2 linked regions of the Tamandua tetradactyla genome follow. Each later gene encodes a partner of the first gene's protein in a complex. Links are inferred from orthologs where the notes say so. Each region holds a gene or a part of one and is shown in the gene's direction. Other genes may lie near its edges.

What was found. The genes of interacting proteins can lie anywhere in the genome.
Region 2: IRF2BP2 (region 1) and BANP share a complex: the UniProt entries of both Homo sapiens proteins name them as parts of the corepressor complex. The link is inferred for Tamandua tetradactyla from reciprocal best matches to the Homo sapiens genes IRF2BP2 and BANP.

The regions. Positions count from the first base shown.
Region 1 is NC_135333.1:4,779,494-4,786,553, reverse strand, and holds IRF2BP2 (interferon regulatory factor 2-binding protein 2), read left to right. Parts: upstream 1-3,997; 5' UTR 3,998-4,184; coding exon 4,185-5,244; intron 5,245-5,831; coding exon 5,832-6,547; 3' UTR 6,548-6,996; downstream 6,997-7,060. UniProt on the Homo sapiens protein: Acts as a transcriptional corepressor in a IRF2-dependent manner; this repression is not mediated by histone deacetylase activities. Represses the NFAT1-dependent transactivation of NFAT-responsive promoters.
Region 2 is NC_135342.1:82,348,125-82,355,398, forward strand, and holds the start of BANP (protein BANP), read left to right. Parts: upstream 1-4,232; 5' UTR 4,233-4,346; intron 4,347-7,274. UniProt on the Homo sapiens protein: Controls V(D)J recombination during T-cell development by repressing T-cell receptor (TCR) beta enhancer function. Binds to scaffold/matrix attachment region beta (S/MARbeta), an ATC-rich DNA sequence located upstream of the TCR beta enhancer.

The DNA.
Region 1 (7,060 bases):
ATCTTAGAAATTAGCACTGGGAAGGACTTTTACTTCCTCTGGTCTCAGCAGGAATGTTCCCCACAGTACACTTCCTTTAGTTCTTGAGATAAATGGCAGCATTTCAGTGTTCTAGTTAAAGCCAGGCTCAACCCGCCGCCTCACCAACACTCACTGCCTCTGCCTGCCTGTCTACATATGAATGTGTAGGCGCACACTGCATCCAAACCCCGTAACCTCGAGCCTCAGTGGCAAAGATTACGATAATTCTCTTTTGAGAGGACCTGGAACCTTAAGCAAGAGGGCAGAGTCTACGTGACTAAAACATACCAACTTCCTCTTTCATAAGTCATCACATGATGAAGTACAATTACAATTCCTGCCTTGTCTCTGTGAATTGCAGACACATTGCCTCACCCTAGAAACCCTGCTCCTGTGTGTGGAGGAGGCGGCTGTAACTGCTGCAGCAGCCGCTTTGGAAGGGATCCAACTCCAGTCTGCGCCTAGAGGCAGGGCGGTGGGTGGAAGACAAAAACAAAGCTATGTTTACTTAGCATACATCGATAAAGCTGCCTCAATGCTACAGGAAAGGCCAGGCAGCATGAAAGACTTTTGATACAATATAAGGAATTGCTGTCCTGGATCCAGGGCCAGTCTTAACCCTCCTGATCCCGGATCCTTTTAGGGCAGGGGAGCCCAGAACTAAAATAGCCTTTCTATTTTCCAGCAGGCATTTCGTTAGGGAAGTTACAACAACTCAGTTTCGACATTAAACTGGCAATGTAAAATGAAAAGGAAGTGCTCTTCTTTTGCAGAAGAAAAGCTCTGTTCTAAAAGATCCTGCCTTAGAACCTTTCAAGGCTGAATTTGTATTTCAGTATTTCTATTTTGGGATGGGGCCGTAGGCTTTCCCTTGAGTCCATCACTGTGCCCGCTGGTGATGGCTCTAACGTATTTTCTTTGAATATGTTCCAGTCTGCCTGGGGGTGGGGGGTTGATATCTTGGAGGAGGGGTGCTGAGTTGGTTAGTCTCTTTCTGGCGGGGGAACCTTGGGCCAAGTCATAGGTTGAAGTTAGTGGCCTAAGATCTTAGCCCAGAAAGTGGCTTGGAGGAACAGGTCCTCAGGTCCTGAAGGCGGTGCACTACCCCCACAGCCAGGTGCCGGGGAGTGATCAACCCCACGCGTGCCCGCAGCTCTCAGGAGGGATGTGGGCGGGCTCCATTCTCCCAGTTTACAAGCAAGGGTGAGGCGGGATTGCAACTGCAGGGCAAGGCGGGGCGGGGGGGGGCGGACACATGCACACACACACACACACACACACACACCATGGGGAGTCATTTAGGCGTGCGCACCTTTTTCTCTAGATATTCTCAAGAAAAGACTGATTCAGGTTAGCCTGTAAAAAACATTTCCGTCTGGCATTGCGTTTTCTGCCATTTAGAGCGTTTTTTTTTTCTTTCATATGCTTTAAGCAGCACCCCCCACTGTTTCTCTGAGGGCTTTCCCCCCTTTTCCTTGTGGTTAATCCCTTCGACCAACCTGGCATTTTCAACAGCAACAAGAGAAACGTCAGCAGGATTTTTTCCCTCTCTCTACCTACCAATCCAGTTGTAGGAAAGATCATGTAATTAGTACTTCACACTTAGCCAGCTCATTCCAGTCGAAGGGAAAGATGTGGGCCTACGTTCCTAACAAAAGAAGCTCCCGAGGCCGCCCTTCAGAGCTGCAGTGTATAAATCCCAATTGAGTGACTAAGCCCACGTCTATTAGTCAGTAAGACTAATGACCAGCCACAAGTGATTTACCAGAAAACAAATCAGCTCCTCCTCCCGATAAAAGTATGAAACTCAAGTGTTCAACTCAGTCGGGCTCGAGTCTATATAACCGCAACAGCTGCAGGCAAGCGCGGTCTTCGCGGGTCTGCAATCGCAAACCCTTCGCGCTAGGCGGGTTTGTTGGCACCTGAGGATAAACTTGTGTCGGCCTCCAGACAGGGACAAAACCGCCCGCCCCTCCATCACGGCACCAAGTAAGCGCCGCCTTGCGAACAGCCCCCGCCCCTCCACGACAACCGTCGTGTAGTCGCCCCTAAACCAGCCCCAGAGAGTCTCCCTCTACGGAGGGGCAGCCGCACACCCTTCTGCGCTGGCGGGGACCTCGCAGGCCGTCACCGCGGCATTTCACCCACTCTCTTCACTGTACTAGAGCCTCTCGCTACATTGAGTAAAAAGTTTAGCAGGGCTGAGGGAGGGACCTGAAGGCCCAGAAATAGCAGGCGGGGGGTGGGGGTGGTGGAGGGGAGGGGGGCGGTGCCTGCGCCGTGACGCGGAGGCGCTGGCTATAGATCGCGCTCTGTTTCCCCGGATCCCTGGAATGTGCATTTCGTTTAATGAGGCTGCAAGTGCCAATTGCATAGAGTCACGTCCGTGCGGAGCATGCGCAGTCCGCGGCCGCGGCGGCGGCACATGGGCCGCGGCGCGCACGTCACGGCGGCTCCCTGCCCCCGTTCTAACCTACATAAGGCGGCCCGCGCGCCCCGCCCGGCCCGTAGCCGCCCGGCGCGGTCGGCGCGGCCTCTTGAGCGACCCTCAAGGGTCCCCTTGCGTACGGTGCGGGTCCCGAGCTCCTGGGGAAATCGGTGGATGAGGAAGGAAGGAGTAACGTAACGTGGCAGAGAAGAAAAACTTTGTCCATTGGCTGTGTTCCTGCACCAGCTACCCTAGAAACGAGATCTATCAGTGAGGGTGTTATTTATACGGCGCTTCCTTTCCCTTTCCAAGGGGACTTAATGAAAAATTCACAGGCCAACCGGACGGAATTTTTTTTTGTTTTCATCAGAAATTTTAATAATTGAAATCTGTAATTACGATAGAACTGACACAACTCATCAACCACACTGCAACCGGAGGCATTTTAACCCTGTCATTGTTTGGGAAACATTTCAGTGTCTGTAAAACTTAAACGGTACAAATGGTGCATGTGGCTTTTTCCGAAACAAAACAAAAGTGTAAAGGCATGCTACCCTGATTTTGTAACTACGCGTCCTTCATTCGGATTTCAAATATAACTCAAAAAAAAAAAAAACCCTTGTGTAAATCACGCTAGATTTAAAGTTTCCATCCTCCAGAGCTTATTGGCAGAAACCAAGTAGCAAAGTGGCATCGTTTACAAAACAAACAAACACGGTTTTACCGAGATTCGACCAAAAAGGACATGAGGCGGGGGAAAAAGCCCTGACTGACAAGTCGATATAGCCGAGTGGAGAGCGAGGAAAGGAAAGTGGAGGAAAAGAAAAACAACATTTGCATCACATTCACATTGGAAAGCCTTTCCGCTCCTCCCTCTCGACCGCGGCTGCAGAGGAGCCAGCACTCCGAGAGGGGAGCTGGTTGTTGCCGCTCTGCTCCTGGCACAAGTTCCCGGAGCGCCGCGCGGGGCGGGAGGGGGACGAGCGCCAGGGCGCGAGCAGCGGGCGCGCGCGCGAGGGGAGGGGGCGCTGCGCGCAGGCGCCGTGCGAGGCTGTCGAAGAATCAAGTCTGTAGAAGTGGAGCGGCCGCGGCGGCAGCAGCAGCAGCAGCGTCGGCGGCGGCGGAGCTGAAGCGGGTAGGGCGCTGACGCCCGCGCAGGCAGAGCGGCGACGGCAGGAGTTGTGAGTGAGCGGCGGAGCGACCCGGGAGCCCGCGCTGCGTCCTAACTCCACGCGCACCGGTCGCCGCCGCCTCGGCGCGGCATGCCCCGCCACTCGGGCTGAGCCTCCCCCGGCGGCCGCCCCCCTCCCCCCGCCCCCCCGACCTCCCCGCCCCCCGCCCCTCACTTAGCGCGGGCCGCCGCGACCTGCTGCACTCCCCCGCGTCCGCGCGGCCCGTGTTCGCCCCGGTCTGGAGACCCGCCGCAGCCCCGGCCGAGCCCCCGCTGCAGCGCCCGCCGCGCCGCGACGCCCCACAGCCCGCCCGCACCCGCCGGGGGGACCTGCTGCCGCGGCTGCACCCTCTCGCCCCGCGCCCCCCGCCTCTCGTGCACCGGGGGCGCTGTGCGGGCGCCGAACCTTCGCGGGCTTTGCCGCCGCCGCCGCCGCTGCGGCCGCCGCCGCCTCTGGTGGGGGAGCCGCGAGGTTGGGGGGGGAGGAGGGCGCGTGTGTTGCCGGCGGGGGGCGGCGGCGCCTCCTCCTCCTCCTTCTGCTGCTGCACCGCGGGCTCCTCGGACATGGCTGCGGCGGTGGCGGTGGCGGCCGCGTCCCGGCGACAGTCATGCTACCTGTGTGACCTACCCCGCATGCCCTGGGCCATGATCTGGGACTTCACCGAGCCCGTGTGCCGCGGCTGCGTCAACTACGAGGGCGCCGACCGCGTCGAGTTTGTCATCGAGACGGCCCGGCAGCTGAAGCGGGCGCACGGTTGCTTCCAAGAGGGCCGCTCCCCGCCCGGCACCGCGGCCTCGGCCGCTGCCAAGGCACCGCCGCCGCTCTCGGCCAAGGACATCCTCCTGCAGCAGCAGCAGCAGCAGCTCGGCCACGGCGGCCCCGAGGCGGCCCCGCGCGCCCCTCAGGCCTTGGAACGCTACCCGCTGGCGCCCGCCGCGTCGGCCGAGCGCCCTCCGCGCCTCGGATCCGACTTCAGCGGGAGCCGCCAGGCGACAGGCCTGCCCCAGCCGCCGACGCCGCAGCCGCCGCCGGTGAACGGCATCCTGGTGCCCAATGGCTTCTCCAAGCTCGAGGAGCCACCCGAGCTGAACCGCCAGAGCCCGAACCCGCGGCGCGGCCACGCGGTGCCGCCCACCTTGGTGCCGCTCATGAACGGCTCGGCCACGCCGCTGCCCGCCGCGCTGAGCCTCAGCAGCCGCGCCGCCGCCTCGCTGGCCGCGGTATCCGGGGGCGCCGCCGCTAGCCTGGGCCCGGCGCAGCCCGCCGAGCTGGGCGCCCACAAGCGGCCGGCGTCGGTGTCGAGCAGCGCCGCCGTGGAGCACGAGCAGCGCGAAGCGGCGACCAAGGAAAAGCAGCCGCCGCCGCCCTCGCACCGGGGTCCGGCCGACAGCCTGTCCGCAGCGGCGGGGGCCACAGACCTAGGCGCAGAGGGCACTGGCAAAGGCCGCGGGCCAGGGGAACAGGACTGGGTCAATAGGCCCAAGACCGTGCGCGACACGCTGCTGGCGCTGCACCAGCACGGCCACTCCGGGCCCTTCGAGAGCAAGTTTAAGAAGGAGCCGGCCCTGACTGCAGGCAGGTTGTTGGGTTTCGAGGCCAACGGGGCCAACGGGTCTAAAGCAGGTAGGGGCGGCTGTGGAGTGAGTGGGTCTAGGGGAGAGAGGGCTGTTCTTTCCATTCACCATTCTATCCCAACCCCCAGAAATAACAAACACCCAACTTCCTGATCTGCCTGAGGCGGAACCAGTGCTTAGTGGCAACGTGTTCATGTGCTGAAGCAGCATAACAGAGATGAGTCAGACTGGGCTGATAGGCACTGACACAGGGTTTTCCTTTCCCAGCACATTCTTAGACGGGAGTGTGAGGGCACCGGTCACCTTTTAACCTGTCTGGGGACATTATCACATGCACAATTCAAACTGGGGTACATGTATGCATGTGTAATTTCACATCCAGTTTAATGCAGTTTAAAAACAGGCACTTTTATACATGTCATTTCCTGCAACTTGGTTTCTTTTTAATAGATAGTTATTTCAGAGCTCCTTAAAGATAAGTGTTTCAAGTTGCACTTAAGCTGGAAACACGGGTTTATACATATAATGCTTTTAGAGAATAAAAATTGCCTAATGAGGTTTGTTTCACTTTGATAAAAGAATGATTTTCAGTGCATCTTTATTTATCCCCTCTTTTCCTTTTCTTTGTTTTCGCAGTTGCAAGAACAGCAAGGAAAAGGAAGCCTTCTCCAGAACCAGAAGGTGATGTTGGGGCCCCTAAAATCAATGGAGAGGCACAGCCGTGGCTGTCCACCTCAACAGAAGGGCTCAAGATCCCTATGACTCCTACATCCTCTTTTGTGTCTCCACCACCACCCACTGCCTCACCTCATTCCAACCGGACCACACCGCCTGAAGCGGCCCAGAATGGCCAGTCCCCTATGGCAGCCCTGATCTTAGTAGCAGACAATGCAGGGGGCAGTCATGCCTCCAAAGATGCCAACCAGGTTCACTCCACTACCAGGAGGAATAGCAGCAGTCCACCCTCTCCGTCCTCTATGAACCAAAGAAGGCTGGGCCCCAGAGATGTGGGCGGCCAGGGGGCAAGCACCACAGGAGGACTGGAGCCAGTGCACCCTGCCAGCCTCCCGGACTCTTCTCTGGCAGCCAGTGCCCCACTGTGCTGCACCCTCTGCCACGAGCGGCTGGAGGACACCCACTTTGTGCAGTGCCCCTCCGTCCCTTCGCACAAGTTCTGCTTCCCTTGCTCCAGACAAAGCATCAAACAGCAGGGAGCTAGTGGAGAGGTCTATTGTCCCAGTGGGGAAAAATGCCCTCTTGTGGGCTCCAATGTCCCATGGGCCTTTATGCAGGGGGAAATTGCAACCATCCTTGCTGGAGATGTGAAAGTGAAGAAAGAAAGAGACTCGTGACTTTTCCGGTTTCAGAAAAACCCAATGATTGCCCTTGACTAAAACTGCTTGAATTGTATATATATCTCCATACATATATGTATGTGTGTGTGTGTGTGTATAACATATATATATACATACACACACACACATATATCCAAGACAAGGGAAATGTAGACTTCATAAACATGGCTGTATAATTTTGATTTTTTTTTTGAATACATTGTGTTTCTATTTTTTTTTTTTTGACGACAAAAGGTATGTACTTATAAAGGCATTTTCTTCTTTTGTTAATGTTATTAGCATATCTTTGTGCTTTATTATTCTGGTGACAGTTACTGTTCAATGTAGGCTGTGACTTGCGCTGCTTTTTTAGAGCACTTGGCAAATCAGAAATGCTTCTAGCTGTATTTGTATGCACTTATTTTAAAAAGAAAAAAAAAAGCCAAATACATTTTCTGACATTGTAAGATTGCCTTACTGTCTGTTATTCCTTATTGCTGGCCCCTTTCTCAGGCTAGAGGCCAATGGTGA
Region 2 (7,274 bases), on another chromosome or scaffold:
CTGCTGTTCTAGGTGATAAAGGATGGCAAAAACAGGACGTTCCAGACACAGAGAAACTATAAACAAGTGAGGAAGTCAGCACCTTTTGACTCCAAACGACCAAGGGTCTTGTTAAGAAGTCACATACGTGGTTCCTCAATAAGTTAAACACAGAGCTACCATAAGACCCAGTAATTCTAGGGAAGTACCCAGAGGACTGAAAATAGGTGTTTCAGCAGAAGTGTGTCCACTCATATTCACAGCAGCAGCGTTCTCAATAGCCCAAGGTGGAAACACTCAAATGCCCACCAACTGAGCAGTGGATATGCAACATGAGGTCCAGCCAGACGATGGGATGCTATTCAACCATGAGAAGGAACGAAGCGCAGACACATACACACTGCACCTTGCATGCTGAGAGAAAGAAGCCAGGCACCAAAGGTCACACATTGGTTGGTTCCATTTGTACGAGATGTGCAGTATGGCAGATTCATCGAGACGGAAAGCAGACGGGTATCCAGGGGCTAGGGGTGGGCGTGGGGTAGGGGGAGGTGACTGCTATTGGGGGCAGGGCTTTCTTTGCAGGGACGGAAATGTTCTAGAACAAAATCATGGTGACGGTTACACAAGATCATGAATGTACTCAATGCCACTGAACTGTACACCTTCAAAAGGTAAATATTATGTGCATTTTGTCACAACTAAAAAGAAAGAGGGGAAAAAGAAGTCAAGGAGAGTGGCAATCTGCAGACAGACTGGAGGTTATTACACGGTTTAGGCAAAGGCCCAGCCCTTGGAGCTTACGAAGTGGGCCATGGCACTGCTATGACTACTTCATTAGTAGATGCATCATCTACGTCTTTCATGTAGATACAGGTAACAACATTTCTGGGACTGAGTGTCCCCTTGTGCCAAGTGCTGCAGTAAAGGCTTTCTATGACGGGCTTCTAAACTCCGTCAGGCACCACGAGGCAGGTTTTATCATCCTACTGCACAGACAAAACAGAAAAGGTGTGTGTGTGTGTTGGGGGGGAGGTGGGCAGGGAATCACCAAGGGGCCCGTGACCGTGAGGGTCTGGTGTCAACTTGGCCAAATGCTGATGCCCAGTGGTCTGGTCAGGCACTCACTGGCCTGACCGTTGATGCAGAATACTCTGTGGCTGGTTGATGAACCAGAGGGCTGGTGGATTAAATCATCAGTCACTTGACTGCATCCATGGCTGATCACATCTGCAATCAACTAAGGCATGTGCCCCATAATGAGATAATCCAATCACCTGAAGGCTCTTTAGGGGAGAGACTCTTCCACTGCTTCTCCAGCCACGAGCCTTTCCGTGGAGTTCATCTAGACCCTTCATCAGAGACAACAGCCTTACATCCTGCCGATGGGTTTTGGACTCTTCCCTTCTCAGGGTTGCATGCGATGCCTTTATACATCTCATATTTGTAGATCTCTCCTGTGGGTTCTGTTTCCCTAGAGAGTGCTGACTGCCCCAGGTCCCGTGGAGTGGCCAACCACCAGGAGGGGATGTTCAGGGTCAGCAACACCGTGGCCAGGTGATGATGCCTGTGCCCAAGCCTGGCGACTGTCCTGGCACCATTCCCTGCTCCCTGCTCTGAACCAGACTCATCTTCAGGTCCCGATGACTCTGTCCCCTTCCCTATACGCGGACTCCACTGCGACATGGCCTCTGGCCTGGACCCAGCCTCCGCTGGCCTCTCCCCCAGCTCCTCGGGTGCCTTCTAATCCATTTTCCAGCCCTCGGGCCAGGGTGACCTTTCAAGATGCCAATCTGCCAGGCCTACTGTGGTCCAATGCCCTGCAGATGCCCCACTGTTTTGGGATAAGGATGGACCCCTCAGGGCTGGCTGGCCTCCACCTGCGTCCTGGGCCAGACCTTCGGCTCAACCCTTCACTGACCTGCGTCCTGCGAGGGACAGCTCCCTGCAGAGGTGCCCTCAGTGACCCCGTGTGAACTGAGATCCCTCCAGCCCCCATGTGCTAGACTCCAGGCCACTGTACAGGAAATTGGATTGGGTTCTCGCACTCATTGTCTGACAAGGGCAAGGGCCCCCCTGGTGACTAAGCGGAACTTTATTGGAAGGTAGCCGGCTTGGCCGATTACTACCTATCCAATTTTAAAAATCATGGCTCATCACCAGATATCAATATTTTAATAGCACCTGCCTCTATCTTAGTTTATGGGGCAGCAATATGAAAAATAAATGAACTAAAAAAATCTAAAGAGAAGCCAATGAGTTCAACATAACTGTAATTATAATTGTGATCACCTTAATTTCTGATACAGTGCTAATCTGCAATGATTTGGAAGTCTTTAGCTTTTAGTCTATTGGATGGTTCAGAATGTGTCAACCTTTATCATTCCTTCAGGCCTTCAGTCATTCCTGCCCGCCCAGCAGGGGCCTGGGGGCCGCAGGCGATGCCCACAGGAGGGGGTGCTACTGACAAGGGATCCACAAGGTTCCGACACAAGATGAAAAATATCACCTCCAGTTTATCCGCCTTCTAGTCTGACTTTCAGGATCCACGTGAAGAATTCTTGCCTATGTAAATGTGCGAGTTTTGGCAGTGTTTGGGGTGGAGGTGAGAGGAGGGGGTAAGTTTCCCCTCCACGCCCCCGGGAAATTTTCGGGGCTTACTTCTGCAGCCTCTCCTCCCCACCTGATCTGGCCCAAGACCGGGTTCCAGCTGAGGGGCTGTGAACTCCAAACTCGGCCTTTTCCTGTTTCCAGCTGCATGACCCTGCGCGGCCCGTCCGACTGCATGACCTGGCCCGTCCGGCTGCATGACCCTGCGCACGGCCCGTCCGGTTGCATGACCCTGTGCGCGGCCCGTCCGGCTGCATGACCCTGTGCGCGGCCCGTCCGGCTGCATGACCCTGTGCGCGGCCCGTCCGGCTGCATGACCCTGTGCGCGGCCCGTCCGGCTGCATGACCCTGCGCGGCCCGTCCAGTTGCATGACCCTGCGCGGCCCATCCTGCTGCATGACCCTATGCGCGGCCCGTCCGGCTGCATGACCCTGCGCGGCCCGTCTGGCTGCATGACCTGGCCCGTCCGGCTGCATGACCCTGCGCGCGGCCCGTCCGGTTGCATGACCCTGCGCGCGGCCCGTCCGGCTGCATGACCCTGCGCGGCCCGTCCAGCTGCATGACCTGGCCCGTCCGGCTGCATGACCCTGCGCGGCCCGTCCGGTTGCATGACCCTGCGCGGCCTGTCCCTCATCTGGAACAAGGGGCGATTTCGTGGTAGCCTGCAGGTCTTCCCACACCTTTTGCAGCGCGGGCCCTCCGTGGCTCTCTGAACCGTCTCAAGGCACGTGGCGGGAGGAGGCCGGGGCGCCGGGCGGGAGGCGCCTCGGGCTGGGCAAGGCCGCCCAGCTGCGCGGTTTGAGGCGGGGTCAGTGCGAAACGCCAGGTGAGTCGCTTTCTTCTGCCAACACGAAACTGCTCCGTCGCTTGTGTTTGCGAGATCGAAGTGATTCCTCCCACTGCGAACAGCGCGAAGCTCGGGGCCGGCACGGCCGGGAGGAGAAGCCGCGGCATCTCGGCGCGCAGCGGGAAGCGGGCACGTTTCCGCGGGTGTCCCGGTCCCGCGCGGTGATATGGCTCGGGGCTTTTTTCCTATGAGAACCCCAAAAGTCACACTTACGCCATACAAGATGAAATTTATATCCATATTAGTATGTCGTGCGTTTATATTGCATAAAACAGACATTATATATTACATATGAAACAAAGATTATATCTATGCGGGACGCACGGGGGGCCGCGAACGCAAGCCTCCTGAACTACAAGTCCCAGCAGCCCGTGCGGCGGGACGGGACGGGGCGGCCGGAGGACGGAAAGACTACAAGTACCGGCAGGCATGGGTCGGGCGGTGGGACTACGAGTCCCAGAATGCATTGCTAGGAGCTTGCGCAGGGCATCCTGGGATACGTAGTCACCCGCGATGTTAATCCTCGTCATCCATTTTCAAAGACCCTGCAAATCCCTCAAACGACCCACTGAGACAATCGTTCACGGACTAGCAAGGAGACCGAGTATATAGGGGGGAAATAAGAACCCAGGAGGCCACAGATCCCGTGAGGGAGTGTAGAACGCGTGCGCATGCGCACCGTCGTGTGAGCGGCGAAAAGGCGCACCGGCGGACGCGGAGCAGTAGGCCCCACCCGCGGGCTCCGCCCCCTGGCGGCGGCGCGCGCACTGAGTCTGCGCAGAGTGCGGAGGCCCGAGGGCCGCGGGGAGGGACGCGCGGCGCTTGCGCAGAACGGCGGCTTCTCTCGCGAGGACGGACGCCATTATCGCATCTCCCCGACAAACACCACGAGAATTCCGCAGCCCACACGGTAATTGCAGCTCCCGCAGCCGGTCGCGTCTCCGCCTCCCCCCCTTCCCGCGGGGCGAGAGCGAGAGCGAGATCTCCCCCTCCCTCCCGCCCTTCCGCCCTCCGCCCGTCCCTGGCCCCGGCCGCCCCGTCGCCCCCGCCGCGTCCCCCGTCGGCCCCGCCAACGGTCCCGCCCGGCGGCCTCGGCCCCCGGCGCCGCGGCCCGCACCGCCCCGGCCTGCCCTCGCCTCCCGCCTCGCGGCCCACCCGCCGGGCCCTCTTCCGCGTTCTGTGCCGGCGGGGGCCGCCCTCCGCCTGAGCTGGAAGGGGAGCTCGCGGTGCCCGGCGCCCAGAGATGGAAGGGCCTGCGGCGGGGAGCTGGGCGCGCCGCGTCGGCCGCGTATCGGTGGTTTTGCGGTTGCCTTTCCCCCCTTCCCCCGAGCGGCGTGGGGTACGTACGGACCCGGCCAGGGACGGCTGAGCGCGCCCGCTTGGCGCGGTGAGGTGTTGCCAGGCCCGGGCCGCCCCGCGCCTCGCGCTCCCCTGGTCCCCAGGTTCCCGTTAGCCGTGGAAGGGCGCCGGGGGTTCAGGCGGACCCGTTGGCCGTGGCTTTTCCCACCTGAGGGAGGCGGCGAGTGCCGGGACGTGCGGAGCCCTGGTTTGACTCGCAGGCCGAGGACGGGGCGCTCCGGGCTGCGGGCACACCGCCTGCCCTCCCTGGACTTCGGGGTCGCCCTGGGCGCATGCACGGCTCTGGCTGTAAAGTTAGGGCATGCTTGGGTTTTCACTTTTCTGGGTAATCGGGAAAATCTGGAACGCACAACACCCCCGCGTTCATCGTGTGCCATAAACGTCATGGGGTGTCGTAGACTTAATTTCTTTGGACTCTTTCTCTACTTTTTAAGTTACTAAAGTGAAATGGCACACTGGTAATCCAGAACACTTGTGATTCTGATGGTTGCAAAGGCAAATAAGGTGCAGTCTTAGAAGTAGGAAACGTCCGACTTGAGAGATGATCTAATCCAGTTGGTTGAGGATTTCGGGGTTTTTCCCCCTGTACTCTTCTTATTTCTGAAATGTAATTTTTTTGAAATGTGGCTTTAGTTTTTTCTCCCCTTCCCCACCCCAGGCTGCAAAAAGTAGATGCAAGTTCCATTTCCCATTATGTGAGCACAGTGGAGACACTGCCTTAATAGAGGAGTAATTTCCGAATGATGAGATGGTAGGGATTGGGTTGGCATTGGAGAAATGAATGCTGCCCGAAGAACTGTGACAACTGTGGCCTTTCAAGGATAGGGAGCTTGCCTTTAAGTTGTGGAGGGCCAAGTTCGAGTCTCCCGATGTGGGACAGGTAATTCCTCTCTCTTCTGCCCCAGGACTCAAGGCCTATTAGCTTTGATAAAACTGGCACTGTAATAAACTTGATGAGAGGAGACAGGAGTTAATTGTTCAAGAGACAGAAAAGAACCCAGAATAGAGCTAGTGAGGGGCACATTCAGTCAGAAAGTAGATGGCCCAGTGATTTAACATTCTGCTTTTAGGACAGTGTGTTGTGTGCCAGCTTATGATCTGGAGTGGTGAAAGGAAACACCAGAATTGCCTGTAGCGTTAATTCTACACATATACGTCCATTTTCTTATTGTCTTGCAGTGGGAAAGGGTTCTGATGCCCAGGGGTCCACTGAGACTGTTGGATTCTAGTATTGTTGGCTTTACTTTTTAAAGAAACAGCTGCCACTTGCGGATCATATACTGTGAGCTGGGCCTTTCAGATGTGTTCCAACCGATTTTAGTCCCAGGACCAAACACGCCAGGCAGAAGATTACCCATGAGATTTAATTAAGGACTTAAAAACAGGAGACAATTCTTCCCAGTGGCAGCTACTTCCCAGTTGGGAAATGGAAGAAGTGCTCCACACAAAACAAGAGGATGCCAAGGGGCAGCTTATAAAGTTCGGCAGAGTCCTGGAAGAGCCGCTTAGAGCAGGGCTTGGGCAGACTCCGAGAGTTGGTTACCGACCATGACAGGGGGCGGCAACCTTCAGTGTCCGCTCTGGTCATGCTGGAGCTGCAGCATGTGCTTGAGGCTCCATTCATTCTTTCTTTCCCTAACCCCTGGTAGGAGCTGTCCCCATTTCACCAATGAGGAGACTGACACCCATGCCGGCTGAGTGCCGTGCCCGAGTCACATAGCCAGTGTTTGAACCCACCCTGCCAGAAGTGTTTTAAAGGAAATAACACACACCCACAGTGAGCATTTTTTTTTTTCATTTGAGTAAGGTACACAAGAAAAGTAGCAGCCCTTGTCCCAGTTCTTGGTACCCTTCCTCAAAGACGTGAAACTTTTATTTGTTTCTTCAGATAGTTCTCCATAGCTCAAGGTAATAACTTTTGTCCATTTTACCAACTTAACTTCTGCTGTGATGGGCCGGTTTATCTCCCCATACTATATCCCCTCTCTTCTCTCTCCTCATGTTCAGTTAATGCAGTTATCTATAGCATGACTGATGAAAATATTGTTTGCTTCACAGCTGCATGATGCATTTGCCTTCATGTACAGCTTTCGTTTTTTTCTTTTTTCTGTAAGGTCCTTTCTTTCTCTTCTTAAATAATGTTTTAAATTCTCAAGGAGAGTATCAAATCTCCAACCTGGAGTCCTCTGTCCTCTTTGTCTAATTACTCTTGACGCCCTCACAGGTATCATCGTGGATTTTTTCTTTTACACACTTTTGGGTTTGTTGAGGATAACTTGTCTTAAACTTGGCTTCTTAGTTTTAATGAAAAACCTGCCAAGAAGACTTCTATTCCTTTTGGGTGACTTTCTCCCTCCCGACAAGATTTTAGCATCTTCTCTTTGATGTTAGACATTTAACAGTGTGCCAAGGGATGAGGGTTTGTGCTCTGAATGCTCTCTGCATCTGCGTCTTTAAGCTCTGGGAAATTTTTTTGTAT